4 linked regions of the Struthio camelus genome follow. The protein of the gene in region 2 purifies or fractionates together with the protein of the main gene of each other region. This does not show direct contact. Links are inferred from orthologs where the notes say so. Each region holds a gene or a part of one and is shown on either strand. Other genes may lie near its edges.

Evidence for each region.
Region 1: the proteins of HNRNPU (region 2) and HNRNPAB purify together in Homo sapiens (affinity purification with mass spectrometry; 4 studies listed by BioGRID and IntAct, with this or other methods). This does not show direct contact. The link is inferred for Struthio camelus from reciprocal best matches to the Homo sapiens genes HNRNPU and HNRNPAB.
Region 3: the proteins of HNRNPU (region 2) and HNRNPA1 purify together in Homo sapiens (affinity purification with mass spectrometry; 6 studies listed by BioGRID and IntAct, with this or other methods). This does not show direct contact. The link is inferred for Struthio camelus from reciprocal best matches to the Homo sapiens genes HNRNPU and HNRNPA1.
Region 4: the proteins of HNRNPU (region 2) and HNRNPA0 purify together in Homo sapiens (affinity purification with mass spectrometry; 3 studies listed by BioGRID and IntAct, with this or other methods). This does not show direct contact. The link is inferred for Struthio camelus from reciprocal best matches to the Homo sapiens genes HNRNPU and HNRNPA0.

The regions. Positions count from the first base shown.
Region 1 is NC_090954.1:5,964,117-5,971,514, forward strand, and holds the start of HNRNPAB (heterogeneous nuclear ribonucleoprotein A/B), read left to right. Parts: upstream 1-4,385; 5' UTR 4,386-4,514; exon of another isoform or gene 4,515-4,661; intron 4,662-4,817; 5' UTR 4,818-4,853; coding exon 4,854-5,140; intron 5,141-7,398. UniProt on the Homo sapiens protein: Binds single-stranded RNA. Has a high affinity for G-rich and U-rich regions of hnRNA. Also binds to APOB mRNA transcripts around the RNA editing site.
Region 2 is NC_090944.1:99,222,084-99,229,429, reverse strand, and holds the start of HNRNPU (heterogeneous nuclear ribonucleoprotein U), read left to right. Parts: upstream 1-4,337; 5' UTR 4,338-4,553; coding exon 4,554-5,301; intron 5,302-6,313; coding exon 6,314-6,425; intron 6,426-6,553; coding exon 6,554-6,627; intron 6,628-7,346. UniProt on the Homo sapiens protein: DNA- and RNA-binding protein involved in several cellular processes such as nuclear chromatin organization, telomere-length regulation, transcription, mRNA alternative splicing and stability, Xist-mediated transcriptional silencing and mitotic cell progression.
Region 3 is NC_090969.1:2,899,864-2,907,235, forward strand, and holds the start of HNRNPA1 (heterogeneous nuclear ribonucleoprotein A1), read right to left. Parts: upstream 2,896-7,372; 5' UTR 2,846-2,895; coding exon 2,831-2,845; intron 1,877-2,830; coding exon 1,760-1,876; intron 1,159-1,759; coding exon 1,012-1,158; intron 474-1,011; coding exon 263-473; intron 174-262; coding exon 81-173; intron 3-80; coding exon 1-2. Other genes in the region: CBX5 (chromobox protein homolog 5), read left to right, coding at 2,896-3,360, 5,421-5,599, 5,899-6,085, 6,184-6,281, 6,393-6,543. UniProt on the Homo sapiens protein: Involved in the packaging of pre-mRNA into hnRNP particles, transport of poly(A) mRNA from the nucleus to the cytoplasm and modulation of splice site selection.
Region 4 is NC_090954.1:5,744,334-5,752,096, reverse strand, and holds HNRNPA0 (heterogeneous nuclear ribonucleoprotein A0), read left to right. Parts: upstream 1-4,748; 5' UTR 4,749-5,120; coding exon 5,121-6,074; 3' UTR 6,075-7,750; downstream 7,751-7,763. UniProt on the Homo sapiens protein: mRNA-binding component of ribonucleosomes. Specifically binds AU-rich element (ARE)-containing mRNAs. Involved in post-transcriptional regulation of cytokines mRNAs.

The sequences.
Region 1 (7,398 bases), on a different chromosome or scaffold from region 2:
TGAATGTATGAATAAACACATACAAATCTTTTATATGGCAAGTTACAAGAGACAATCAGTTAAATAAATGATGTTTCAGAAGAACTACGATAGGTCTTTTCTGTATCTGGCAACGTACGTAGAAAAATACTTAAAGTATATATTCCAGTTAACTGAAAAATTTTAGAGTAAGTTCAGAAGTCAGCAGTAGCTATAACTATGTGTCACCTTGGTAGCTAGGTTTGGATCAAATTGTGCTTTTAGAAGTCTGACCCTAAATACTGTCAATGCATTTTTTTTCAAAGTAGAGTAATTTTAGTAACATAGGAAGATTTCCCGGCTGGTTTTGAAGTTATATTGTCAATGTTTCCTTAAATGCATATTCTCTTCATCTTAATTCCATGTAAAACCATCCCTCTTGCCATTCTTTCTTATTGTGAGCTCTTGCTTTCACCCATTCCATTAAAATCAAGGGGATTACTTGCATCGTTATTATCAGTAAACCTATTTGTATATACTGTGCATAAGGACTAACTCAGACAGAAGCTTTATCTTGAAGGTATTTTGTATATAGCAGGCAGTCTCTGACCTGAGATGCTTACAGTCAATTTAGACAAGACAAACATAGGGTGGAGGAAAGGGATCGCTTACACCAAGAATTTCAGGGCAGTGAATGGTATGTTGGTTCTCTTCCTAAAGAATGGGGAGGACTAGAAGAATCAACTCAATGGGCATGACAGGGAAGTATAAAGAAGATGAAGAAGAAAGGAAAAGAGGCAGTAAAAACAGGTATGGCTTAAAGCTGGTAGGACTAGACAGGGAGGGCATGGCATAGAGTAAACGAGTTTGGTAGAATGGCAGAATTAGGCCTAAGATCCTGAAGTAAAGGTAGAATTCAATTCAATTTACACAGGTAAAATTCAGTTGGATTTCAATCACTGTCACGAATAGTCACCGTAGTTACAGGATTAAACAAATAGCAATGATCTTTTTCTCTCAGCAGTAAATATGTCATATAAGGATTAGCACCCAAGAAGGTATGTGTCTTTTTTTTATTTTATTTTGATTAACCACAGACTTTGAATGTGGATGAAACACAAGACCCAAACCTAAGTCACATCCCGGAGGAAGTATTTAAAATAACCTGAAGGCATGATGGGGCCTGATACTAATAATCATAATGGCACGTAGTCTCAACTTTCTCAGTCTTCAATGTACAGTCTTCAATGTGTAAACAGTGACATTGTTAGTCCTGCACGTCACTATCAGTTTTCAAACCAGACTGCTTTTGCCAGTATACAGCCACACTGTTATCCTGCTGTTGGGTATGGGACATATAAAGCATCATGTAAAATAGTAAAGAAGAAGAGATTAGCTTCTAAAATAGGGCAGCTGGGAATCATGGCTAGACTGGGCAGCTGGAAACAGACATTTGGAATTGCAAATATGGGAGAAAAAGAGAGATGGAACTGAGTGGGGAAAATGCTCAGTTGGAAAAGAGTCTGCAAATTTAAAGAAAGCAGTCTTAACCAGGAAAAGATAACCTATGCCAAAACACCAGTGCACAGGCTATGAAAGGAAAGACAAGACAAGTTCAGCAAAATAAGAAAAAACTGAAAAAAGAGAGAAAGAAGAAAAGAAAGGAAAACATACAGAGAAGTCTAAACGAGAAGATAGATAATCTTGCAAGTCCTTAGCAAACTTGATGATTGGGGCAATGACTCTTGCAGGGAAAAGAAGTAATGAATTGTATCATCAAAACCAGTCTGGTTATATCCATCAGCTGAGCCTGAACTTACATGACAAACTCTCAGGAACTGTTGCCAATTTCAGTTTACTTTCATATGCTGGTCTATAAACTTGTAACTTAGGAACAGCTATGCTTCTACACTCAACTGCAACTGCTACATACATGAAAACCTCCAAAAAGAAGGTGGATGGGACAGAAGGGGGGTAGCATTAACCACTTCAGCCATCCTAGCTAAGTCTATCTGCAAATGTGAGTTTGGCCATAGTGCTCCTGATCCACTTAAGCAAACGCATGTTATTTTTCCAACTGAAGCATGCTGCCTGTGTACTGTATAAATTAATTGAGGTCATCTGACAGGCAGTGGCTTAGTTGTTTTTAATCACAAACCATACCTTACAGCCACTGCTTTTGGGTACAGATCTGATAGGCTTACACTCTAAGCCAAAGCTGCCTGAAAATCAACAGACGGTCTCTTGCTGGATATGGGATGTGTTCCTTTAAAATGGTATACGCTAGAATAGAGAACATACTTTGAAACATTTATACTGTCTTTATTAACCCTTTGCTGTTGCCTTGGCCCCATAGCATGTTCAGTTCCATAAACCTCAGCCTGAAGAGTTGATTATAGAGCTTGTCCATAGTGCACTCTACTCTGCCAGTGGACTATGTTGAAATGAAAATCACCTGAGGTGAAGATTTGAGCTACTGTAGCCTGAGCTGAAAGCATGGTAGAATGCTAACAAATTAATATCTTCATGAATTGAGCATCTGGCTGACACATCCTACGTATTAGTATGTTTTACTACTTTCTTATATCCTTGAAATTACTTGTGTTGCCTGCTTCTTAGATTACTTTAGTACTTCTGTATTCGTGAGCAGCAAAAACGTGAGAAAAAATATGTTTACAAAAGCAAATAGCCAATATCACTGAGGATTTAAACTCAAGGAGTTAAAACAGCTGCAATCCTGGTAACAGATATTATGCAGTCTTGCTGCACACGTGCATGGGAATCAAAGCAGACAGCTCAGCTTGGACCAGTTGAAATGATGCTCATGACATGTACCGCAAGCACCAAAACAAAAGAGTGGCTTGGTGTTCTTGGCTGTAGCGGGGGAGGGGAGCTATTTTTTCCATATGCTCACACAATACTAAGTTTTCCCTTTTTTTTAATTGCTTAAAGGTCTGGCTTATAGCCTGAAGCAATAAAATGTTTTTACTTAAAAAAAAAAAAAAAGTGGGGGCGGGGGTTGGACTCGTAATCTGAACAAATCATGTTATTTTGTGCTCATCTTTAATATGCTGCCTGCTATACTGCTAGGAAGTTTACAAAACCAAATATAACGTCCTCTATTCCAGTTTCTCTAAGTTGCTACTTAAGAAAATGAATCCAGTAGAGGATAAAAAGCACTGTAAAGGCAGTTTGCCCAAGGACAACCTGGATCCTAGACTAGATTACTAAACAGCAACATCTATCACCACTATATATTTTTATTCAGAAGTAGCCATGTGCGTTCTTCCTGAATTGTAATAACAGGAGCAAATATGCAAGTCGAGCCAGAGGAGCTATTTGCCAGAGGGTGGAGCAAGCAAATAATAGTGCATGCATTCATTACTACAAAAATTAGGTAACAATTGTCACTTTTTACCTAGAAGCAAAGAACGCAACATTTTTTTTTTAAAGATGTGGTGATACACTTTGACTGTGTCCATGGCTAAATGAGGTATTTGGAATAGTAAACTGTACAAGAATTCAAAGTACGATTACACCGTGCGTGTATGGGTGAGCGGGTGGGTGTCTGCCGCGCTCTTCATGCACAGCTTCATCAACAAGGTTGATATATCCTCGGGCAAATGGAATTAAGGCCTAGGCACACGCTCAGGGCTCCAGCTCCCGGCGTTATGTAACAACCAAATCTAAGTTTCCATTAAAAACAATAAACTCCGGCGCTCTCAGTTGCCAAACCAGCAGAGCTGGAAACATTAACCAAACCTCTGGTACTGGAGCAACTGAGTCAGTGTTCATACCACACCTTAAGTGAAACCACTGCAACTCTTTGTCAATAAATACTACGTTCAAGTCGCAGCAGCGTTTCCCGTCGTTGACCGGGCAAGACCCGAGGGCCTGCGCAACCCCAGGGCGGCTGGGCCACGCCAGCCCGCCTCGGCGGCGGCGGCTCCCGGCAGCGCCGCGCCCGGCACCAGCCGCACAACCGCGCCGGTCTTCGAGCCGCGAGCAGCTGCCGCGCTCCCCCCGGCCCGGGCGCTGCCCCCGCCGGGGTGGGTTTCGTCCCAGCCGCCGCTGGCGATTTTATAGATCGCGTCGAGGGGCCGGTAACGTCGGACGGGACGGGGCGGGGCGGGGAGGGGAGGGGCGGAGCGGCCCTTCCCCGCCCGGGGACAACGGCCGCGGCCCCGCAGGCCCCGGGGGAGGCGGTGCTCCCGGGCAGCCCTAGGCTGCCGCGGCGGTAACAGCACGACGCCCGCCCGCCTTCTTTCCCCTGCCGCACACGGCAACGGGGCCGGGCCGGGCCGGGCCGGGCAGGGAACCTGCCCTCAGCGCTGAGGCGAGAGGCGCGAGGCCTCCCCTTCCCTCCCAGCCTAGTCCCGCGGGCCGCCATTCGCCTCACCCCGCGCGCCCCGCCCTCCCCGCGGGGAGAGCCAACAGGAGCGGCCGAACCGCGTGAGTGACAGTGGCTGGCAGCCAACGAGGAGGCGCTTTGTTGCTGTGTGACCGAGGCTCCGGCAGTATAAAAGCGGCCACGCGTTAAGGCTCCGGGCCGGAGAGTACGTGTCTCGGGGGGAGGAGAAGGTGGCGGCGGGGCCGGTGCGGGAGCAGCCGAGCGCCGCGGGGAGGGGTGTCAGCACCAGCGCGCGTGGGGGATTTTAATCCGATTCCGGCCGGCCCGGATTTTATTGGGAGCGGGTTTTAAAGTGAGTATGAGCCGCGGCCGGATGGCGACGGCGGAAAAGGGGGGGAGGGGCGGGACCGGACCGGATTAGACCGGCCCAGGCGGGGAGGAGGAGGAGGAGGAGGAGGAGGGGGGAGCCGCCTTGCTGACCCGTGAGCGTCGCGCTCGTGTGTTGCAGGCGCCTGTCGTGTCTCGCCTCTGCGGACGGGGCAGCATGTCCGAAGCGGAGCAGCAGTTGGCGGCCGCCGCCGGCGCCACCCAAAACGGGCACGAAGCGGCCGAGGGCGCCGGAGAGCAGCAGGCCGAAACCGGCGGGGCCCCGGCGGCGGCGGCGGGCGCAGCGGCAGCAGCGACGGCGGGAACGGCGGCGGCGACGGCGGGAACGGCGGCGGCGGCGGCGGGAGCCGGACCGGCGGCGGCGGGAACAGCGGCGGCGGCCGCCAGCCAGAACGGGGCCGAAGGCGACCAGATCAACGCCAGCAAGAACGAGGAGGACGCGGGGTGAGCGCCGCGCCGCGCTCGGCGGGCCGCGTCTGAGGCGGGAGCAGGCCGCGGCCCCCCCCCCCCCCCCCCCCCGCCCCCGGGCGCCATGTGCGGCGGCGGCGGAGCGCGGCCGCTAGGCCCGGCCCGGCCCTTCGGCGGGAGCGGAAGCGAGGCGGGCGCGCCGCGCCGCCCTGGGCTGCGCTGCGCTGCGGCCGGCGGGGGAGGGCGGCGGGCGGCCGCGCTGCGGAGGGATCGGGCGGGCGGTGAGCCGGCGGCCTGCAGCACCAGCGCTTCCTTTGTTCTGGAGCTGCCTTTTGTTGGCGCCATGTGGTGGCTGGGGGAGGGGCGGGGGAGCGGGTTTGTTGCCTTCTCACGCTGTAAAATGGAAGGGGATTTACCTCCGCGCGCTTTGCCGTCCCCGCGTTTCCCTCTTTTGTTTTCCCTTTTTAACGAAGGGAGCGAGGGAGGGGAAGAAGTTGCTTTCTGTCGGGGGTGGGGGGCTGGCTCAAACTTTCTGGCGATTGCACGCCCGATGAGCACCGGCGTTGGTGTCAACGCGAACCTGTTTTGTTTAATACATATAAAAGAGCCGTCCTGGGCTTGGAAGCCACTGGGAGACTCGGTGTTTTTGGGGAGAGTGAAGGAAAAAACAGTATGATTGAGATGGTGTGCAATGTGTCTAAAACAGTAAGTGTGATTTTTGGTGTACTATTTGCGGCATTGTCAGAAAAAGGTTTTATTTCTTAAAAGTGTTATGTAGAGGACTTGGGGCAGTCTCTGCTTCAGTAGCTGCATCCTTATGTACAAATTATTTCTTGTCATAGCTGATCTGTTTATCTTTTTATGAATATATATTCTTGACTCAAAAATACCTTCCTGCTTCTCAGAGGGTCTTTGTGATTCAAGTGACTCCATGTATTTAATTCAAACTGTTACCACTGGGCTCTAAACCGAAGGAGTTGTCTGCTTCAGGTTAAATGGAAAGCTCTAGCCACAGTAGAATGATAGACTTTGGCTTTAAGGGAGGAAGCAAGACTTGTACTCTTCCTGAGAGCTCAGGCAGGATGCCTTCTGCAGACCCCATGAGGACTGAGATCTAGGCCTGTGAGCTCTGTGCGAGTTTCTTGTTTCTTCTTTGATTTTTTTTTTTTGCTTTTTTAAAGTATTCTGCTCTGAAAAGTGAGTTGTTTTCCCCTTTCTCACATAGGAGGTGACAATTTTTGACCCAAAATCTGTGGAAGGTTCTAATTTTCTAGGAAAATTAGTTACAGGCGTTCAGCTATGTGAAAACTTTAACACTTAAAGTAAGAGCAGTCTGAGGCACCAGCATTTAAGTATTGTTAATAGCTAAACCGTACCTTGATTTATGAGTACTAATACACTGAGGAGAGATATGTTAAGTATCTGTTAAGTATATGTTAAGCTTGCAATTTTCCAGTCTGTGTGGCCCTCTGAAGGGGAAGCCAAATAACTTCTAAGACTATCTTAGCCTTAATTTTGAAGGCTCTACCATGTGTTATTTAAGTACGTATATCCAGGTATTGATCACAAGGGTTACAAAACAAAGGATTGTAAGTTAAAGTATATCTACTGCTGTTGTAAGAGGTGAAATTAGCATGTGGCATATCTACATGTGTACAGTAGCACCATCCCTAGTGCAGAAACAACTTGCAGGCACCCCCCCCCCCCAAAATCATGCTACCACCATTGAATTTCTTTTGAGCATTCTGTAATTGCATTCAATGATGCTGGGGTATGTTATGCATAGCTGCTGTCAGTCTGTACAGATCATAGCAATCCTGCAAAATTCCTGCTTGATCAGTAAGCTGTTCTGATGAGAACGAAGCCATCAAGTTACCTTGCTTTCACCCATTGTTGAAAGCCTTAGTAAACATTTTGTAAAATCTTTTCTGTAAGGCTCTATTGTAAGGGTTCTAAAAAAGAAAAAAAAAAAAGGCACGCAGACTTCGGTTAGAGCCTTGTCTGTTAAGAGTGCACAGCTTCATCTTCTGAAAAATTCTAGGTTTAGCCTAAAAGGGAGATTTTTCCTTCAGTTGAAGGAAAAATCTAGAAAACATATACCTATGTAGTTCTTTTTCATGTTGCCTTTTGAATATAAATGGATGCAACTTTGGCAAATCAAAGTTATACATTAACACCAAAAGCCAATTTTGTTTAGAAGTACTCTAGTTTCTAAAGTGCTGCTAGTTTCTAGTGCCAAATTCGGGTTGCTTCTAAACAGAGCAATAACTCTGATTTAATCTATAGTTAGATAA
Region 2 (7,346 bases):
ATCTTTGTATTTATTTGTGTGTACATATATGTGTGTGTATAGTGGGGGGGGGGGAAATGAACAATCATCAAAATTGATCCTTCACCATCAAACATTTGTGATAAATTAGCATTTAAAAATGTCTGGATTTTTTTGACCAGCCCTAATAATGATTAATGAGGATTTCATGAGGAGACTTAGAGAAAAAGACTTACTTCACGTGCTCCCTGCTATCATAAAAGGCAGCCGAGTATTTCAAGAATAATACTCTCTTTTTAAAGTAATGGTATGTTGGATGTCAAACTCTGAAGGCAGTGTTAATTGAGGGTGGAGAGACTGAGGATATACAGAAGAGACCAAGGAGTCTATTGCGATGGTCAGAAGGAAAGTAAAGCACGAGAAGAACAGCCAGAAAAGGATAGACAAGGCTGAAAGAGAGCAAACCTAGGAAAAGATAAATGTTTGTGTCCTTCTGCAACGTTGAAGGTGTAAGAAAAGGTTTAAATAGCTATCTCATCTTCAGGGAATCACTGCTATTTGAGTAGTGTGATATAAACATAGATTTGTCTTTGTGCTTGCGGTAAGAGACAATTCCCTGCAACTTAGAGGTAGTCTGAAGATGCCAGGCCAGTCCTTGCAGCAGTTGGCACAACTGATCTCGACATCCCTCTGAGCTCCTCCCAGGAAGGAATGGGCTCTGTGTTGTGCACCTGCAGAATCAGACAAAAGCCCAGGCAGGATGGGCCCCTGGGACCATCTGGTCCCTCTGTGAAAGCCTGCCCTTCTTGTCACCCCTTGGAAAGACATCCACATCTCCTATCCAGGAGAGAAAAGAACCGTTGCAGGAAAGGAGGCAGCGGTTGGGGAAGGGCTGACCATTCTTGGCACGCAGGAGAGGGGCTTGGAAAGACCAGCAGTGACTAATGGGAAGAACATTAGGGGTGAGAGGCGAAGGTTGGCTAGCTAAAATCTGAAAAAGTATAAATAAAAATTAGAGGGACTACAGTAACTGATTAGAAGGGGAGAGCTGCGGATTGAGAGGATCCCAAATTACTTTTTTTAGGGGAGACTGGTTTGGAGTGAAAGATATTTTAACTTTCTGAAGATGTAACAGAGGTATGAGGAAAATACTGTATGATGGATAAATAAGTACAAAGAAAGCAGACGGGACTACGTGTTGTTTATGGGTAGATGCCACTTTCCAATTAAATGGAGGGTTTTTTGTTTTATTTAAGATTTTGGGGATATTTTGAGACCAAAGAAAGGGTAATTTAAGGCAAGACAATTTGTGGTTATCAGCAATGATGCTAGGTATTTATTATGGCTGTCACTATTGCACAAGTGGTAGCTTTGCAAATTAAAGCTGAAGTGCTTAATTTGAACTTTCATGTTTCAGGAGTTCATATGACTAAATGTTTATTTTTATGATGTGGCTGGTATCTGCGTGATCTATGAAAAGCTGAGTTGAAGGAACTGTTATCTGAATTAAGGAAAGGCACAGCAATGGAGAAAGCATATTCCCTTAACTTCTTCCCCTGCCCCCTTAAAGTAGGAATGGGGAAGAGTCACACCGCTGAACTCAGGACTCAGGGAGGACAAGTGAACTCTTTGTTTTCCCCAAACTGGGGCATTTGTGTAAACAACATGTATTTAACATACACAGCAGAAAACTTAAATTGCTTTTACCATGGAAATCAGTCATAAGGTTGCATGCCTGTTTCAGTTATGTGCGTATTGTATGTGCTTAGTTTTCAGAGAAAAGCCATTCTCACCACAATTAAATCACTTGATATTTAAAAATCAGCTGGGATCTCCCCATTTTATAATAACGGGTAGCAGCACTCTGTAGACCGAAGGCATGGCCTTACTACATTTGTGACTATCTGTTTGATAGTGTAACTAATGGTACTATACAACCATGTACTTACTGCTATGGTATGCATTAATCCCCTAAAACAAAAGTTCAGCCTTCTAAATAGTTTAAAGGGGAGAGGAGCCTTTTCAGGTTGGTGTTAAAAAATTTCTGGGGCAAAAAAATAGTGAGCCTCTATTTTAATGCTCAAAACAAATTACAATTCTTATTTTATGTACTCGAGCCTTTATATACAGGCTTGAGTGCTTTGGGGTAAGTAAGTAATCTCTTGATGTGCCTCAAAGTCGTTAGCTGTTTTGTTTCTCCATGGTAACAGCAGTATAAAGCTGTATGAGCATGTTACTGAAGTAGGCAGACATGACATTGTTTAGGAAGGGGATTACATGTGAGGACTGCAGCTCTAAGATGATTCTGAACAAGGGCAGTTTTTAACACAAGTGCTGTAAATGTGTGCAGATGTGCTAATTCAAGGCAACATTCAAGGATCAAAAAAGGCTGAAAGGATCTAAGCCATAAAGTTTGCGCTGGTAGGATTATTGGACTAGGCTGATGAAGTTCTGCAAACATGGCTCCTCATGTGATGAAGACTGTACCAGATCAAGGTTTAAATGTAGGGCTCTGCCTCAGGTTCAGACGCACTACAAATCGAAAAGACTCAGTGTGTGTTTTGTTTAAAAATTTTAAATTTAAAGTTCACAAAAGAGCATAGAGGTGGGAGAAGCAAAAGACATCTACCTTATTGTAGAGTTGTCTGTAAACTCCAGTAAGTAATCTTGTAATATTAACTAGGTAAGCCCTGTTTACACTTTGTTCCCCTCCATGGGAATATATATCACTGTTACCTCAGCAGACTAGTTTAGATAGCTCTTACATGAAGAAATGCACAAAGGTAATTTATACCAGTGCAGCTTGATCATGCATTGACCTCTCCTTAGTACTGATGCACTTTTTTTAAATCTCCTTTTTTCCCCCTATTTAGATGACTGTGACCTCCTCAACTGAGGAAAATCTACTAACTTGCATTTATATAAGGAAAAGGTTGTGATAACCTTTTTCTAAGCTGTACATATTGCATGAGGGAATTCTTGCTGTCTCTGTTCCAACAAGACTTAGTGCAGTGAAGGGTTGAGCTAACCTTGCAGATTGAGTCGTGTTTCCTCTGAGTGGATTCAGCTTGGCTGGAGAGGACAGAGTGCATGCATGTGCTTAAGGGACTGTTTAACTTTCCTTGTATAGTTAAAAACAGTGCGACTTCCTTGTCTCTCCTCCCTTTTCCTGAAGGCAGGTGAACTTAAATAATTTCTTCTGGTTTAGAAGGCCATGTGACCTGCTCCAGTACAAGGCAACTTCATGTCAGTACACCTTCCCTACAATAGGGCTTTTTAACAATCTTTAGTTGTTCAACTTGCCTCTTTTTAAAATTTCTAAAAGCAAGTGAAAATTAACTTTTTACTAGGGCTTCCTAAGGAACCAGACTTGTCTACTAATGCTAACCTCCTGTTCATCTGCGCTGCTCTCTGCTGTTTCTGCTCCAGTAGCTTTGGACCATATTGGAAAAATTCAGTGGGTGCACAGCTTGGTGGCAGAACAGAGAGGAGACCTACATGAATGCTCTGGAGCAGCAAAGCTGGGAGCAACAGCAGTTTGCTTGCAGTTGGTTACCTGGTCAGCTAGCTCTGCACTAAGCTGCAGACGAGCGTTGCTTGTCTGACGGAGAGTTAACGCACTTGAAAACCTTAAGTTAGCCCTGTGGCTTGTGGAGCCACTCGGTCTAGTTACCGGTCAGGCTGGCGCATGCCGTAGCCTGTGAAGAAATTGCTGTTATAGCTCTACTTTTGTCCTTATGTAACTGTGCTAACAGGGTTGTACCAGTGCGACTATTTTGAGAAGGACTGTTTCCACTTTCAGTTGAAACTGAATTTTCAACCCCTTTTCCGCGCGGCGCAGCGCGCCGGCCGGGCCTGCGGAGGGTGCCCGCAGCGGGGGGGAAGGGGCCGCCGGGGGGGGGGGTCTATCTGGGGCCTTGCTCAGGCCTCATCTTGCACCGAGGGAAGAGCGGAGGCCTGGCGGGGTCCCGCTGGGGCCGGTTTCCCGTCCGGAATGGCGTATTTTGCCGAAAGCGAGCGGGCGGCAGCGGGGCGTCTCGCCGGGCTTCCTGCCGCCGCCTGGCCCAACATGGCGCAGGTACAGCTGTCGGCGCGGAGGGGCTTATGCCGGCAGAGGCAACTTTTCCTTTCCCGTAACTCCGCCGCGTAGACGCGACCAGCCCGGGCTGCCAGGGCCCCTCCTGCCGCCCCGAGCTCGGGTCCGGCTCCGGGTGCCGGCGGGGGCGGCCCCAGCGCACGGCGCCCCGCGCGGGAGAGGCGCCGGGGGGCGCGCAGAGGTGCTGCGCTCGGGCCGGTATTTACGGTAGCGGCGGTGCGTGCGGCGGCCGTTACGGTAGCGGGGGGAGGAGGGCCTACGTGCGCGGGGGCGGGGCGGGCAGTGCTGCGTGCTCGGCCCCGCGAGGCGCGTCTCCCTCGCGAGCTCGGTGAAAGGATTTGGCGCCAGGCGGGTCCGCTCTGCAGCTGCCGCAGCCGCACGAACCAGCCGCGCCACCCACCCACCGCCTCCCACCGGGGCCTCGACCCAGAGCCGCCGCCGCCGTCCGCCCGAGCCCAGAGTCGCCTGCGCGCCGCCCAGGGACCGAGCCGCCGCCGCCATGAGCTGCTCGCCCGTGAACGTGAAGAAGCTGAAGGTGTCGGAGCTGAAGGAGGAGCTGAAAAAGCGGCGCCTCTCCGACAAGGGCCTCAAGGCCGAGCTCATGGAGCGGCTCCAGGCCGCGCTAGACCAGGAGGAGGCCGGCGGGGGAGGCCCCGCCAGCAGCGCAGTTGAGCCTGGCAACGGCAGCATGGAGGGGGAGGCAGCCGAGAGCGGCGGGGGCGCCTCGCAGCTCCACCAAGGAGGAGGCCCCGACCAGGCCGCGGCCTCCACCGCGGAGGACGACGACGAGGAAGGGCTGGAGGCCGCCGATGGCGACGCCATGGAGCTGGGCGAGGAGAACGGCGAGCGGGCGGGGGCCGGGGGCGGCCCCATGGAAGAGGAGGCGGGCGGCGAGGAGGAGGAAGAGGAGGAGGAGGAGGATGAGAACGGAGACGACCAGGGTTTCCAAGAGGGGGAGGACGAGCTCGCCGACGAGGAAGAGGCCGCGGCCGGAGACGCCAACGGGCATGGCGAGCAGCAGCCGCAGCCCCAGCAGCAACAGCAGCAGCAGCAACAGCCCCCGCCGCTCCTCCAGCCGCGCGGGGCCGCCAAGGAAGCGCCCGGCAAAAGCACCGGCGGCGCCTCGGGGCCCCCGGCGGCGGCGGCGGCCCCCGCCGGCTCGGCGGGCCCCGCTAAGCAGCAGCAGCAGCAGAAGAAAGCGGAAGGTGGCGGTGGTGGCGGCCGCCCCGGGGCTCAGGCCGCCGGGGGTGAGTTTGCGCGACGCCTTCGGCGGAAAGGGGGGGGGGGGCGGAGGGGGAAAGAAAGGCCGTTAATCCCCCCCCCCCGCGGCGGGGGGGGCGGGCGGGCGGGCAACGGCCAAGAGGGCGGTTTCCGGGGTGCGCGCGGGAGGGCGTTCGCGGCCGGCGCGACGGCGGCGCCTCCCGCGCCGGGGGGGGGGAGGGGGGGCGGTGTCCCCGAGGGGGTTTCCAGTCTTCCCCCCCCCACACACACACACACCGGCGGCGGCGCCGCCCCCCCCCCCCCCCCGCACCGCGTGCTCCTCGCCAGGCGGCTGCGCTGGGCCGCGGGCGGGGGAGAGGGGTTCTCGAGAGGGGGCCGTTGCGCGGGGCGGCTGGAGGAGGAGGAGGGGCCGTTGCGCGAGGGGGGTGGAGTGGAGGCGCGCGGGGGGTGAGGGGAAGGGGCCGCTGCGCCGGCCGCGCGGGGGGAGGGGCGGCCCCTCCGGAGGGGCCGCTGGGGCGCGCTGTATTGTGCAAAGGAGCGCTCGGCGGCGTGACGTCACTTCCGGTCTGGGTGCTCCACGGGATCGCGTTTGGAAGGCCTGGTACAATGGAGGCGGGAGGAGGCGGAATCCCTTCCCTGCAGGCGGCCGGGCGGCCCCGCGCGGGGGCTCCCGCCCGCCGCGCTCGGCCTGCCGGGAGGCGGCGCACTCGTGCGGAGCGCTCGGCGTCCTTGTGAGCGCCCGGGAGTGTCCTGCTCGGCGCGGGTGAGAGCGCGGGCGCCTTCTTGGCCGTTCTTTTTCACCGCGTGAGAGCGGGATGGCTTTTCTCTGGGCGTCTTCTCTTAACATCGAGGACCGTGCCAGATGCGGAGATGCAAGCTTTTTGTCTTGGAGCAACACAAAAAAGTCTGCCAAGATGCTGTTGCTTTTCAGTTCCTGAGGGTTTTCGTTCAGTTTCCAAAGTTGGAAACGTTATGGATGGTTTTATTCCCAGCAGAGTTACATTGCGTTGCTAAAATAAATTGTTAACTCTGTTACAGGAGATGCTAAAACAGAACAAAAACCTGGTGAGAAAAAGAGGGGTGTGAAGAGACCACGTGAAGATCATGGCCGTGGGTATTTTGAATACATTGAAGAAAATAAGTACAGCAGGTAAAGAAACTTTTGATGCTGGACAAGATTTTGCGAATGAGAAGCTGTAGGAAGTATTTCCTATACCCCTACTAAAATGCTTCCAACTTTAATTTTTTATTCTCTTCTTTTTCCTCCTCCCTCGCCAGGGCTAAGTCCCCTCAACCACCTGTTGAAGAAGAAGATGAGCATTTTGATGACACAGTGGTTTGTCTTGATACTTGTGAGTAAACATGCTTTCCTGCGCTCTAGAAGGTGTAGTGGTATGCTTTTAAACTTAAAACTATGCTTTCTGAAATGTAGGGCAGATCCATTGATCGTTATTACTAAGAAACAGCAAGATTAGCCCTTTACTTTTCAGTATAACGAAACAACAAAAGGATGCCTGGGTCTTTATTAGCAATTATAAGCTTGGCTTTCCCAAGAAATAACGTAATATCATATCGTTTTCTGAAGAAATCTTAACCAAAACACTAACCTGGTACATAAACTAAGCTGTGCAAGCGTGCAGTGAACGTAGATCATGCTAGAAACAGCTTGGGAGCTTGAGTCGTGAGAAACTAATTTTATATCACGTGAATGTTTTACTTCGATAAGTTTCAGGAATAAACAGAGGGCTAAGGTAGTACAGTCTGTGGGGTAAGTTTCCTGCATAACTTGCTGAGGCCCTAGTTACATGCAAACTAATGCAGTATATTTTTTGATTTCTAATAAACTTGAGAAGAAATCAGCAGAAAGCTCCTGGAAAATGCTGCATTCATGCAGTCTGCGAGGTTGGGGGGGGTAGATGGTATATGCAAATGGCATGGCAGAGAGAACTGGTCCAAAGGGCATAGAAATTGAGAACTACATACAAACTGTTTTTTGAAGCAGATTATAAATGTTACTATTATTGTGGTACAGCATGATTTGGACTAACTTATCTTTGAGGGTAAGTATAAG
Region 3 (7,372 bases), on a different chromosome or scaffold from region 2:
GCCTTTAGGAACAGCACAGACAGTAACGTCTAGCGTCAGCTCGGGGCGGCGGGGAGCTGGGGCGAGATTTGAGCGCTCACCTCTCTGGCTGGCTGAAGCGCTGGCCATTTCCTGCTTCGAGAGGGCTTTCCTCACCTCGCAGTTGTGCCCGTTCACAGTGTGGTATTTCTGAACTGCAGGGAAGGAAACGGCGTTTAGGACGCTGCCGTCAAGCCGGACGCCCATCCCGCGCCCCCAGCACCCTCCCCGCAGCCAGACTTACTGACTATCTTGTCGACGGAGTCGTGGTCATCGAAGGTGACGAAAGCGAAGCCCCTCTTTTTGCCGCTGCCGCGGTCTGTCATGATCTCAATGACTTCGATTTTGCCATACTGGCCAAAATAGTCTCTCAAGTGATGCTCTTCTGTGTCTTCCTTAATGCCGCCCACAAAGATCTTCTTGACTGTGAGGTGGGCCCCGGGCCGCTGGGAGTCCTGCGGGAACAACGCGTGAGGTGGAAACGGGGCGGAAACGGGGCAGCACCGCACGCCCAGGTCTCCCGGGCAGAAAAAAAAACAGGCTTCGGAGCCTCCGTCCTCAGCACCTTCACCCTCGCGCTCAGTCACCAGCCATCCAGCAGCACTCGGAAGCGGTTACCCTCTCAGCCAGGCCCGGAGCGAGGTGTTTAAGCCTAGAAGAGCTGGCAGTTCTGCCCCGCTTTGGTTACCGCTTATCCAGGCCGTGCAGACCCACCCCAAGGCCAGCCTTGAGCCTTCTACGCCCCATCTCTACCCTCAGCCAGGTCCCTTCAGCCCTTAACAGTGAGGTCCAAAAGCGTTTCTTGACCGCTGCAGGACTAGCTGGGAGAGCCACGGCCCGAGGCATCACCTGAGCCTCAGAAAAGCTCCTGGCACCACCAGGACGTGGCACATCGCGGCGGTCACCGCGCGCACGGGCACGGTTTGGCTGCGTCAGGTGCCCAGCGCCTCCTGGCAGCCCCGCAGAGCGTCCGCACCTCACGCGGGTTCCTACCTCTCTGGAAACGGCCCTCTTTGGTTCAACAACTCTGCCGTCGACTTTGTGTGGCCTGGCGTTCATGGCAGCATCGACCTCTTCGACTGAGGAATACGTGACGAACCCAAAGCCTCGCGAGCGCTTGGTGTTTGGGTCCCGCATCACCTGGGAGGACAAACCCACGTCAGACAAGGAACAGCGACAGGTACTAAACGAGCCGTCAGCAAACGGGGGTCCTAGCCTGCTGGTTACCAGTTAGCACCAACCCTGCTCTTCTCAAAGACACCATCAGGGACCAGCTGCCGCATGCAGAGACGTTGGCGCTGCCTCAGGGTGTCCCTATGACACAGCTCAGGGAAACTGGGGGATATTTTGGGGCCGGGGCTTGCTCCATCCTGACGCTGTCCCTCAGCACCTTCACCTCTCCCTTCTGCGGGCAGGTCCTGGCCCAAGCAGACAGGTCTTCCACCCAGAGCAACCACTTTCCATTTAACCCAAATAAATACGCTTCGAGCCCCTCAGTATTACACCACCAGGGCTAACAGCGGTCTGAGAGCCCCAGAGAGCCAGGTCTCCCCAGAGGTGTCACAACAAGAGCCCCTGAGGGCCGAAACTCAATTGCCCACCCTTGTCTCTGCACAGAGGCTCAGCTGCTTCCTGCACCGCTTTGACTCCGCTCAGCCTGGCGGAGAAGCCCAACGCAAACCACGTCTCCTCGCAGCGCAGAGCCCCGCGAGGAGGCAGGCAGGCGCGGGTCAGGCCTTACCACGCAGTCGGTCAGGGCGCCCCATTGCTCGAAGTGGCTGCGGAGGCTTTCGTCTGTTGTTTCGAAGCTGAGGCCGCCAATGAAGAGCTTGCGCAGCTGCTCGGGCTCCTTAGGAGACTGGTGGGAGAAAAGAGCGGTACGGGGAGGGGGGTGAGCAGGGGGTGCTGCTGCCAGCAGGCTGCCCTCCCTACCTGTCCTGTGGGACACCCCTACCCCCCCCAGGGCCACAGAGGTCCCATCACTGCCAACTCCCCTCCACAGGCCCCCCTAGGCCCAAACAGGTCCCATCACTGCTAATTCCCCTACAAAGGGGCCCCCCAGGCCCCAGTCAGGTCCTGCCCCCGCCACCCCCCTGCACAGGGCCCCCCCAGCCCTGTCCCCAGCCCCAGGCAGGTCGTGTCCCCCCCACACCGAACCTGTGGGCCTGCCCAGGCCCCACCAAGACCCTGCCCATCCCGAGGGCCCTCCCTGCCCCCCCCCCGGCCTGTCCCAACCCCAGGGCAGCCCCGTCACCCCCCAGGTCCAGCCTGCAAGGCCGCGCCGGCCGCAACTAGGCCCTGTCACCCCCCAAGCCCCATCTATGGGGCTTCCCCAGCCCCCAAGCGAGGCCCTGTCACCCCTGTGCCCCCCCCCGACCCCTCCCGTGCAGGCGGCCGGGCTCAGCCCAGCCCCGGCCCGGCGGAGCCCCCCCCCCCCAACCCGGAGCCGACCTGAGCGCCGCGCATGCGCGCTGGCCGCGCGGCCGCCATAGCCCACCCGAGCACAAAGGCGCGCACGTGGCTCCGCGAGCGGGGAGCCGCGGGTCGGCGGGGGGTTGGGGGGGGGGGGAGAGAGAGAGAGCGGGAGCGCGCGCGCGGCTGCGCATGCGCCGCTGGGGGCCCCCGGCGCGCCGCGAGGGGCGGGGGGGGCGCCCGCGCGTGCGCAGAGGGCGGCGGGGAGGCGGGGTGCGCAGGCGCAGTGCGCGCGGCCCGCCAGCCGCCGAGCGCGGCGGCCCAGGAGGGGGAGGCCGCGGCGGGCGGCGGCGGGCGGCGGCGGCGGCCCGGGGGAGGGCGGGGGCGGCGCGGCGCTTACCTCGTTCTTGGACATGGCGGCGGTGGGGGGAGAGGCGGCCTCCGAGCCGGGCTGCTCCGCGCGCGATGCTCCCTCTGCGAGGCGCCGACACAAAAAGGGGCCGAGTGACGAGAGCGCCGCCGCCTCACTCCGCCGCCCCCGCCGACCGCCCGCCCCCCGGCCGCTCCCATTGGGCGGTGCCGCCCGCGCCGCGCCCCCGCGTCGCCTCCCATTGGGCGGCGGGGCAAAGCGGTTGGGCCTCATTGGTGGTGGCGCGCCGCTCCGCCCGCGCTGTCGCCGCCGATTGGTTAGCGCAGAGGAGGTCCCGCCTCAGGGCCTATCGCATTGGACGAGGCCTCCGAAGCCCCGCCCGTGACGCGCGTCGATTTTTCCCGCTTCGTCCCGGAGACTCGCCAGCTCTTCCCGGATTGGCTCCGTCGGTCGCGGTCCCGCCTCGCGCCTCCCTCTCATTGGCTAGCGCAGCAGCCCGGCGGTGTTCATTGGCGGGGCCGGTTGTCGCTCAGCGCTCCCCTGCGGCGGGCCCGGCGGAGGTCAGCGAGCGCAGCAGGAGCGGGGCCGCGGCGGAGCGGCAGCGGCGGGGCCGGGCGGCGCGCGGCGCCCCCAGCGCAGCCCCCCGGCGCGCGCGGCAGCAGCGAGGACGCTCGCCCGCCCGCCCGCCGGCGCCCAAGGTGGACTCCGCTCGGCGCATGCGCAGCCCGGCGCGGCGCGGGGCCGGGCGGGGCGGGCGCATGCGCGGCGCGGGGCGGCCGGCGCCTGCGCGCTGAGGGCGCTGTTTTGGCGGGCGGCGGGCAGTGCGCAGGAGCGGCGGCGGCTCGGCGCGGCGGCGGCGGCGCGGGGGAGACGGGGCCGCGGCGGAGCTGCTCCGTGCCCAGGTAGCGGGCGGCGGCGGCGGGCCGGTGGCGGCGGCGCCTTGCGCCGAATGAATGGGGGGCAGGGAGCGAGGAGGGGGGGCGTGCCCCGCCGGCCTGATTGGCAGCCGCGCGGGCCAATGGTGCCGCGCGGGGGGCGGGGCCGCGCCGCCGCGGGGGGCGGGGCCGGAGGGGGCGGGGTCGCGCCGCGAGCGACGGGCGGCGCGGCCAATGAGGCGGGCGGGGCGGGGCCGAGAGGGGCGGGGCCGCGGCGTGAGCGGCGGCGGCGGCGGCCAATGGGAGCGCGCGGCCCGCCCCGCCGGGTGGATGTGCAGCGCCGAGCAGCGGCTCCGGGCGGCCGGCGAGGCTGGCGTGCGCTGAGCGGCGTCGGGCCTCAGCCCGGAGCCCAGGGGCCTTGGCAACAACCGGCGGCCCCAGCGCGCTCGTGCGGGGCGGCCGGGCCGAGGTTCGGCTCCGCTCCTGGCGCCGTGGGTCTTCTCCTGCCGTCGCCCGTTATGTTTCTTACAGCTCTTAAATCGCTCCGGAGAGAGGCGGCTCCGGGCGGCGGAGGAGACCCGTCTCGCATCGGGTGGGAGGAAGCGCCCGACTGCTTTGGTGTTATTTCTCTCCGGTTTGGACAAGCCGGAGCGAGGGGGCGGCCGCCTCGGCCCGGCCTCGGGGCTTTTCTCCGTGGGGTTTGGCGGCAGCGGCGGAGCCCCGTCGCCCGCCAACGCGGAGGTTTCGCGGGGATCCCGCTCCGCGCCCTTTGCTCCCGAGCTGCTTCGAGCCAAAAATCAGCGGTTTTAGGGCTGAGGCCGGCTTTGGGCACGCCTTTGCCGCGGGTCGAGGCCGCGGCTTGGAGCTGGAAAGCGCCTCCGAACGCCGCGGCATCGATGGCACGAATGACCCACGCTGGGAGATTTCGGAGGGGCCTGTCACCGTGGCGTCAGGGCTGCCGGGGTCTCCCCCTGCCCCATCTACATCATCGCGTTGAATCGCCCGGGGATAACACGCATCCCGGGGCCCAAACACCGCGTGGCTGGAAGGCGGCTTCGAGGGCCGGGGCGGAGCGGGGGGAAGAGGGCGATTCCCTTCCCGCTAGCTTTCGGTGCCGCCGTTTTTGGTTTAAAAAGCAGCCTAAAACGCACCGAAAGCGGGTGGCGCCGAGCTCCTTCGCCCGCCGCCCCGCGCCGCCAAACCTTTAATCAAACCGCCCCGGCGGGGAGCGAGCGCCGATGAACCCGGCTCTTTCCTTTTGCCCCTGCAGGAGGAGGCCGAGCTCCGACAGGCGGCTGGCGCGGGAACCGGCGGCCCCCGGCCGGCTCCGTCGCCGCTCGACCTACGCCGGCACGCGGCAGGAAATGCCGAGCGGGGACGGGGAGACGAGGAATTTCCTGATTCCCGTCTCCGGTTCTTCTCGCTCCGTTTTTTTTTTTCCTGTGTCATTAAAACAAAAAATAGAGGATTTAAAAACCCAGCTCTTTGCCCGGGAGCTTGGAAGCATTGCCGGCGGGGGACGCCGACGCCCCGGTTCGGCTCACCCGGGGCGGGATGGAGGCGGTGGGCGGGGAGGGGGGGGATCACGCGTACGCGGCGGCTTCGAGACCTTGCGGCGCCCGCGCCGAGAAACCAGATTCAAACCGCGGCGCCGGTCGGCCTCGCTCCGCCCGGCGAATCCCCGCGCGGCCCGAGCCGGCCTTTGGGGATCGTCCGGCGAACGGCGTTTCGCTTCCGGCCGGCAGGAATTGGGTGGCGTCGGCGCGTTCGGCGGGAGCTCCTGCGCTATGGGCAAGAAGAGCAAGCGGACAGCAGACAGTTCGTCCTCGGAAGACGAGGAGGAGTATGTGGTGGAGAAGGTGCTAGACAGGCGCGTCGTCAAGGGGCAAGTGGAGTACCTGCTCAAGTGGAAAGGCTTCTCCGAGTAAGTGCCCCCTGCCTTCGCGGCTCCGCTCAAGCCGAGGAGGAAGAGGAGGGAGGCGGGGGGCACCCCTGGGCGCAGGGGAGAGCCTCTCCCAGCCTTGGGGAGAGGCCCAGCCGCGGCGCCCGGAAAGCCGTTTAGCAGCACTGCTTGCTTATCTATTTATTCATTCATTCATTTATTTATTCATTCATTCATTTATTTATTCATTCATTCATTTATTTATTCATTCATTTACTTATTCATTCACTTATTCATTCATTCATTCATTCATTCATTTATTTGAAATTTCCCGCTGGCAGGGAACATAACACCTGGGAGCCGGAGAAGAACTTGGACTGCCCGGAGCTCATCTCGGAGTTTATGAAAAAATACAAAAAAATGAAGGAAGGCGACGCCAACAAAACGCGCGAGAAACCGGAGAGCGCCAAGCGGAAATCCGGCCTGCCCCACGCCGCCGAGGACATCAAGGCCAAAAAGAAACGGGAGGTGAGCGGAGGCCGGGCGACGGCGGGCGGGAGGGGTTGGGGGTAACGCGGCGCCGCCAGCGCCCCGTTCCTCCTTCGCGCCCTCCCGTCCGTCCGCAGAGCAACGACATCGCGCGGGGCTTCGAGCGAGGCCTGGAGCCCGAGAAGATCATCGGCGCCACGGATTCGTGCGGCGACCTCATGTTCCTGATGAAGTGGTGAGCGCGGCTGCCCCCCGCCGTTGGGGACGCGAACCGGGCAGGGGGGGACGCGGCTCATGACGCCCCGTTATGTGTTTGTGTCCCCCCCCCCCGCCCCAACTCCCGCAGGAAGGACACGGACGAGGCCGACCTGGTGCTGGCCAAGGAGGCGAACCTGAAGTGCCCGCAGATCGTCATCGCCTTTTACGAGGAGAGACTGACCTGGCACGCATACCCCGAGGACGCCGAGAGCAAAGAGCGCGAGGCGGCCAAGAGCTAAGGCGGCCCCCGGCGGCGCCCCCGCTGTACATAGCCCGTCCGCCCGCCGCCCGTCCCCCCCCCCAACCCCGTTGTCGTCCGTTCCCCCCCCCCCAAAATAACCGCATCCCCCTGCCGCCCGCCGGTCCCCGCGGCGGTGGCCTCGGGCGCCCCGGCGCAGCGCCCGCAGCCGGTCCTGCCTGGGGAAGGTGGTGGTGGGGGGGGGGTCTCCCCTTATGCCCCCCCCCAACCCCATCGGCCCCCGTTTGCCCCCAGCGGGGCCCGTGGGTGCCTGCGTCGCCCCCCCCGCCCCCCCCGACCAGTGACAAAGCCTTGGGGTCCGTCCCGGGGACAGGACGGTTCCCCCCGTCCCCCCCCCCACGGCCAAACCCCAGCTCTGGGGCTGGGCAGGGGGGTTGGGGGGGGGTTCAGCCCCCATCTCTGCTGTTTTTCTACCGTTGATGTTTTTAACTGGGCCCCCCCCCCATCCCCAGCCCCCGGGGGCCCCCCCCACCACCCTGGGCCACTTCATTGTCCCCCCCCCGCCCTGGGTTGTCCCCTTCTCCCCCCCCCCCCCGGTATTTGCTTCCAATAAACGGTCACTTTTCAGGAGCCGCCGCTCGGTGCTCGGCAGCGGAAACCGGCCCCCCCCCGCCAGTGTCCCCAGTGTCCCCAGCTCGGCCCCCCCCAAACGGTGGTGTCCCCCCCCACCCCAGGCTGCAGGGAAGGGACCCAGGAGTCCTGCTCCCCCCCCCCGCCGAGGAAGCAGGATGGGGCCCAGGTGTCCGGCCCCCCCCCCAGCACCGCAGGGGGTGGGAAAGGCAGTGCCCCCCCCCACCCCGGACGCCTGG
Region 4 (7,763 bases), on a different chromosome or scaffold from region 2:
AGCTGTTGCCCATGAAACTTAAGATCCTTATAAAATGAATTTTTAGTGTGCAGGTTGCCTAAGAACTTTTTAATATGTAGGACAATATTATGCATTTACTCATATATAGTTAAAAATAGTTCAAAAAAATTGTAGGAAAACTGCTGTAGATGTTGGAATATTGTCTGTTTTAGCAGACTTGTCACATCTTACATGCAGTGACATGAGAGTGAGAGAGTCATGACAGTGAGAGAGTCATTCTTTGGTTCTCGGCTCTGACTGCTCTACGGAGGTACCTGCGTATCTCACGTTTGCCTCGGCTCACCACAGCTAGAAAAAAAAAAAAAAAAACTTTCAGACTCCTGGCTCATAGGAATGCTTATAGCATGCAACTTGGCACGCTTATCACGCGATGGGATGCCTCACCTAATATATGAGTCCTACAGGAACAGAGAGGTCTCTGGCTGGAGTCTCCATTCTGGTTCAGATGACCTGGGAGGTATGAAGATCATCCACACCGTGCGTGACATGCAGGAGCAACTGATGTTTAGCTGTCTAGGAATCCCCTTGCATCACAGGAGCCTTGTGGTATGTATTAGGGTGCTGTACATTTACAGTGCCTGTAAATGCAGGGATTGAATTCTTAGAACATGATTTAGAGCAAACACATGAACTATATGAAATCCCTTACAAGGCAGTTGGGAAGGGACAGCAGACAGGAGAACACCAGATCAAGCGAAGGTGTGTCTTTCTGTAACGTCAGAGATGTTTCCATCTGCAAGAGATGTGTGTGTATATATATATTTTAAAGATATTTTCCTTTTTCGTTTTCTGATCATCATTAACCAGTCAAGAGAAGTGGAACGTGCAAATGAAGAGGAATCATTTGCGCTATATTTGCACTGTGTCAGCCACTACTTTTGCCTAACGATTTGCTCACCTCTTCTTAAAGACCCTTACCTTTTCCCCGTTAGTAGTGACTTCTTTCTTTGATCTCCTCCTTGGCCTACTTGTCTGTTTTGTTTATGGCTGTCTCTCTGTAAAAACAAGCATTCTGTTTTCTTTGTGATCCATTGAGGCCATAATTAGCTCCTCTTAATTTTTCTTCCTCTTTTGCTGTAAATTGTTGAAGGGCTATTAAAACTCCCATAGGGTGTTTTCTATGTCAAACAGAATTAATGTATTGGGAAGAGCTATGTGGTTTTTATATTGAGTGGCAGGCAAAATATGTTTTTGTATTTCTTGTAATTGTGTGGAACTTTCACATAGCTCCTGGGGAGAAAAAGAAAGCTTTTCATTTTTTTTGATAGAGTAGCATGATTTGTTTATTTTTAAACAACAAACAATTTAGGGACATTATGAGCACGTTCTCTTTTCTAAAAGCTAGATAAAATGACTGTGTCTGATATAAACAAATGTCATCTTCCCCTGTCAATAGTTCTCGAGCATAAACAATATTTCTGTCATAAGTTACTCTTCATAGACTTGGCTATAACAGGAAACAACTCCTTTGAGTTTAAAGGATGAAAACTTGGCCCACTGACAGAAACGAGGACAGAATTTTAGTAACGCGTTGTAGTATTAATTTCTGGAGTTGACACCATCTGAAGAGGAAAAGGAAGAACCACAGTTTACTCTGTGCTGAGATTGTGAGCCTTTTTGGACTTTGCCTGGGGCTGTAGTTACCTCACTTCCTACTGAGGTCAATGTTATGCTTACATCTGTGAGTCTCCAAGAGTGCATTTTTACAGCATCTTAAGATGATCTAAGTCAGGGATTCTGCAGTTCTGCTTCCTCGCTTGTGCCAACGCTGGCAGTCAAGGGATCGTGCAGTGAACTGTTTCAGAAAGCTGAGGCAGCTACAAACTAAGTACTTTTTCACTGTAAGATTATTTTTGGCTGTCTCAGTTCTCTCTTAAGTGTATCACTCTATGTTTGCACAAGCATCAGTGCTGGTCCAAGGGAAGAAGCAGGATCACATGGCTGGAGGGCAGGACAGCTTTAACCCCAACATGGATCAGTTTAGACTACTGGGGAACTACATCCTGATATGATACCTTATACAAAACTGTAACCACCAAGTCAGGAGGACTGCAATATTCGGTGTTTTTCTTGCTGCACCTTTATAAAGGCTCCCCGGATCAAAATTGGAGGGGAGACTTATACTAGTCTCTCTGACCAAGGGACCAGGCCCAGCACTGCTGTTTGTCTCTCCTCTTGCCCTGGTTGGGAAACTTGTGATCAAGCTGGAGAAGAGAAGCTGGTAACAGTGATGTGATTGTGAGGTTTGGTGCCAACGTTCTGGGAAGCGTGGAGACTGGAATAGCACAGACAGGCCTTTGAAAGGTAAGAATCGGGATATAAAATGGGTATTATTGGTAGAGGTAACACAATCACTTCAGAGGGAACAGTGTCCTAAAAAAAAATCTTGAAAAAGTCTATGCAATTATCATCAGAGATGAGATATGATAGGCCTGCAATTCAGGATCCAGTGCCTGAAAAAGCAAAGAAACAGAAAGCAAGGAACAGAGCAAACAGGGAGGGATTCCCAAACTGAAGAGGAAGTAATGGGATCTGAGCCGGCCCCATGGTATATACGTATATATTTAAGAGGAGAAGGGTGAAGTGAGTGCTGTTAAGTATGGATGCTTTAACACCTCATGAGGTTTTGAGGGTTGCACGCACTTCAGTGTGTTAGATTATACGTGGTCTGTTTTATCAGAAGTAGATTGTCTTAATGTCTATGCTCAGATTTGTTCATTGCAGGGATAACGAGCAAAGGAAGAAGCTACCTGAGGAGGCTGTGACATTGCCTTCGCTGAAGGCTTTCGAAACAGACCAGGCAGGTATGTGTGAAGGCTGCTGAGGGAAGGCAGAAGGGGACGCACCAGGAGAGGGAGCATGGATGGGGTGAGGCTTACGTTCAAGGGGAAGCATCAGTGGCCAGACACACAGTGCACCAAATCGTATCGGTACCGCTCCTGGACCTGCGCTGGGCAGAAATGGAACAGGGGAACGATGCGGAAAGAAGAGCAGTTAGAAGGGGACGCTTGCGATTTATAAAGGAATACCACACGTGAAGGCTATGTAACTGAATTAGTTACTACAGAGTACTGTGAAGGATTAGATAAGAGGACTAGGTTAACATCTGTTTCAGAAACCTCGTGGTGCAGGCACTAACGTGCCTGGTAAAACATGAGCTAACCTTTTCACCTTCAAGGAAAGAAAATATGACCACAAAAATGATTCTTGGCTCCCAGATCGTTTGTAGCATAAACTCCAGTGGGCGTAAAAATCTTCTTTCCAATGAAAAATTCAGTACGTTGAAAATCAGGCTACAAATTTGAGGCCAGCAACGTTTAATGTACTATTAAAGTAAAGCATCAAAAGTAAACGTATGTATTAGCAGTCTCATAGGTTTTACACACCCTTGAGGTGTAACTATTTATCTTAGAAAATACCTCCCAGTGGAGCTAAGGAGAGATTTAGGGGTGAGAAGATGATGCAGTGATAGGGTTGGAAAGAAGACTGGAAAACGTGCGAGGAAACACTAGCAGGAAAAGTAAGAGAGAAAGAAGCTGCAGGAGGCAACAAGGACCGGGAGCACGTTGGAAAGGGAAGCGAGAGTGAACACGAAAGAGAGAAGAGCCAGATAGCTGCGGAGAGGGAGTAGGTGGGAAGAGATTACAACGGAAGGGGGGGGGGGACTTGAAGAGGGGAGTCACCCCCGTCCATAAAAATATGCTTTCCACGTTGCCTGAAAGCTGGGAGAAGCGTGCCAGCCAAGAGAAATGAAAGTGAAAGGCTTGGGCTGGCAGAGTGAGGAAAATACACCCCCCAAGGTAAGAAAAGTCCCGTCCGTGCTGGTTTCCACTCAGGCGGTTCCCGGCCTCAGCGCGGCGGCCGCGCCGCCCCCTCCTGCCGCCCGGCCCCAGCGGCCCCGAGCGGCCGGGCCCGGTTCGCAGCGGCCGGCAAAAGGGGCAGGGAGGCCGCGGGGAGCGTGAGGAGTTGGTCGGCGCCTTACATCCTCCTTCCCGCCGGGCGGCAGAGACAGGGGACGCGCGCGGAGCCGCCGCTGCCTCCGCTTGTCCGAGTCTGCGCGAGCCTCCTCGGGCTCTCGGCGGCCCTGCACGGAAGGGAGGTCGGGGAACGGGCGGCCGTGTGGGGAAATCCCCCTCCGCGGTGGGGCGGGGCGGGGCCTCGGTGCGCGGCGGGAGCCTCTCGGCCTGCTGCCCGGCGGGGGCGGGGCCGGAGGCGAGGGGCGAGCGGCACGGCCGCCTAACGGTCAGCGTTTCAAATGCTCCCGCGCGAGCTGCCAGCAGACCCCCCCCCCCGGCTCGCTCCCCCTTCTCCTCCCCGCTTCGGCTGCGGGGGCGGGGCCGCCAGGGAGAAAGCGCGCGGCTGGGAAGGAGGCGGCCCATTGGCTCGCGTCCGCTGGCTTGACGCATTGGCGCAGCCGGGCTCGATCCCTCCCCCCCTCCTCACCGTCTCCTCCTCCTTTTCTCGGCGCGAGCCGGGGGCGGCCCGCATCACCGGCCGTTGCGGGGGAATTCTATTGGCTAGCCAAGGCGTCAGTTACTGGCGAACCCCCTTCCTCTTTCGCTGCTTTTGCCGACGCGCGGCGGAGGTCGCGCCCTCCGATTAGGGGCCGCGCTCGTCAATCACGCCCGGGGCCCCGCCCCTATAGGTGAGTCGCGGACGGCAACGGCGGCCCGCTCTGATTGGCTGCGCCGGCGTTGGGGGCGTGCGCTGCGGCGGCCCGGCGGGCGGGGCTCCCAGCGTCCCCTTTGTGTGGGCACCAGTCGCCGGCCGAGCGCTTGAAGAGTAGCAGCCGCCATTTTGTGCGTGTCTGTGTTTTCCCCCCATCCCCCCACCCCCCTTTTCTGTGGGAGCAGCGGCAGCCGGGACGCCCCATCTCTTCCGCTGGTAAGGGGAGGCGAAGCGAAGGCTGTGGGCCAGGCCGAGGGAGAAATCGCTGGCGGCTGCTGGCTGCCGTGAAGTCGCGCTGCTCGCAGCGAGAGAGGGGGAAAGAAGAAGCCAACGGAGCGGGGGGGGGGGAAAAAAAAACCTTAGAGCTGCCCCCCAACAGGAGGAGGAGTCTCGGCGCCAGGCCTAGGCGCAGCCCCGGCACCGGCGGCAGCATGGAGAACTCGCAGCTATGCAAGCTGTTCATCGGCGGCCTGAACGTGCAGACCACGGAGGCCGGGCTGCGGGAGCACTTCGCGGCCTACGGTACCCTCACCGACTGCGTGGTCGTGCTCAACCCGCAGACGAAGCGCTCCCGCTGCTTCGGCTTCGTCACCTACTCGGCGGTGGAGGAGGCCGACGCCGCCATGGCCGCCTCCCCCCACGCTGTGGACGGCAACGCGGTGGAGCTGAAGCGGGCCGTGTCCCGCGAGGACTCGGCCAAACCCGGGGCCCACGCTAAGGTGAAGAAGCTCTTTGTGGGCGGCCTCAAAGGGGACGTGGGCGAAGGGGACCTGGTGCAGCATTTCAGCCAGTTCGGCCCCGTGGAGAAGGCCGAGATCATCGCCGACAAACAGAGCGGGAAGAAGCGCGGCTTCGGCTTCGTCTATTTCCAGAACCACGACGCCGCCGACAAGGCTGCCGTGGTCAAGTTCCACCCGATCCAGGGCCATCGCGTGGAGGTCAAGAAGGCCGTGCCCAAGGAGGACATCCAGTCGGGCGGGGGAGGCGGCGGCGGCGGCGGCTCTTCGAGGCCTTCCCGGGGAGGCAGAGGCGGAGGACGGGGACGGGGCGGCGGCGGCGGTTCCGGCAACCGGGATCACAACGGCCTTTCCAAAGGAGGCGGCGGTTACAATAGCTACGGCGGCTACGGCGGAGGAGGCGGCGGCGGCGGCGGTTACGGCTCCTACGGCAGCGGCTCCTACGGAGGAGGTGGCGGAGGTGGAGGCGGCGACTACGGCAACGGGTACGGCGGGTTCGGCAGCTACAGCCAGCACCAGTCCTCCTACGGCCCCATGAAGAGCGGCGGAGGAGGTGGAGGCGGGGGCGGCAACTGGGGGGGCCGCAGTAACAGTGGACCGTACAGAGGAGGCTACGGTGGGGGAGGGTATGGAGGCGGCTCTTTCTAAAGTTGGAGCGCCCATACCCATTGGGGGTGGCATGGAGAGCCCTCCCTTTGATACGGGGCAGCTTCTAAATGGTTTCTCCCCTCATTCGCCGAAGGGCAGCTCCTTTTAAATGCCTCCCTGCTGTGGGAGCAGCTCCTAAATGCCCCCTGGGGGTCGCCTCTGCTGCCTGTGCCACTTCTTTCTCTCTGAAGATGGACTGGGCCCCACATACACATACTTTGTGTTACAGTCATTGATGGACTCTATTTTTTTATTATTACTTGGACCTTGGTCGTTTTTATACTAGCAACGAAAAAATGTCTTGTTTTAATTTGTTTTTTGGGGGTATGGGGCGGGGGGGGAAGTGTCTTGCTGATCTGGAGTAAAAACTGGGGAGGGTTATGGGGGAATTTTCTTTGTTGTAAGGACTCGATACCTGGCTACTACATTTTTTTCTACAAAATCTACTCGGATCCCATGACTGAAATTAACATTTCTGTAAAGGAGGAAAAAATCGTTTTTACGTTTTTTATTTTTTAAATAAATCATTGTGTTCATTGACCTTTACATGTCTAATTTTTTTTCCTAGGATTCATTCCGTACGGTTTAAGGCTTTTCTGGGTTTGAAACAAGTGTTCCTCTACTTTAAAATCTCTGTGTGTTTAGAGTAAATATTTTATTGCCAGTAAAGGTCCTAATTGACTTTTTTGCTACCCCCCTAGTGGATTTATTGGTTTTCAAACACTTGACAGAAATTTTTGAAGTACTAATCCGTGGATGTGGTCTGTTTTTTAAATATTTGTTCTCACTTATGCAGTTTGTGTGCATCCACCATCTTGTACTAGGCAGTTTGACGTGCTGACATGGTTGGTCAATTTTTTCTATAGGACTTTTCCATCAACGTATGTACTGTGTAGTTTTGAAGAAATAGTTTGTGTTAAGCATGTGCTTCATTCATATAAAATGTTCAGAATTTCCGATTGCTTAGTTTCAAGTCCTCTTATTGGTTTGTCTGTATATGATTCCTTACAGGAAAGGGTCAACATTTATCCCTTCTTTAAATGCATACTTGTTTTCATAGTACCGGGTTAACAGACTTCACTCTGAACTATTGTCCTTCATTAAAGTTCCCCGAGAATATTTTGCAGCACCACCTACTGGCAGGATGGCAGAACCATTGCTGTAGGCTTTATTACAGCAAAGTAAAATTGGTTTGCTAACAATTGTACTAGACTTTTGAAGGCTTTTTTTATGCCATTAGATGACTGGTGTGGAATGAAATGAAATCTGCATGTGAATAAAGATGGGCTCCATGAGTATTGACTGAAAAAAGAAATGGATTTGCAATACCTGCCTCAGCACGTTTTTTGGGTCTTTTGCTTTTTGTTTTTTTCTTTTTAATAATTGCAATTGCCCATATTTCAAAAAATGATAATCTAAACTGTTTGGGCAAAGTGCTATGATAAATGAGCCAGCTAAGTGTACCAGTAACATAGGTGCCAGTTGTAAAGCAAAAATATCTGTGTAGTCTGCTTGATTAACAAATGTATATTTGTAGCCCTTTCACGCAATAGAATTAAAGTTTGTTGTTTATTAAAAAGCATAATGTTTTAGGGGAAAACTGCCTTCCTGCATAGAAATATAGAATAGCAACGTTTATGGGTTTATGGATATCAAATAAAGAATTGAATTCCTTACATGCTTGAGTGA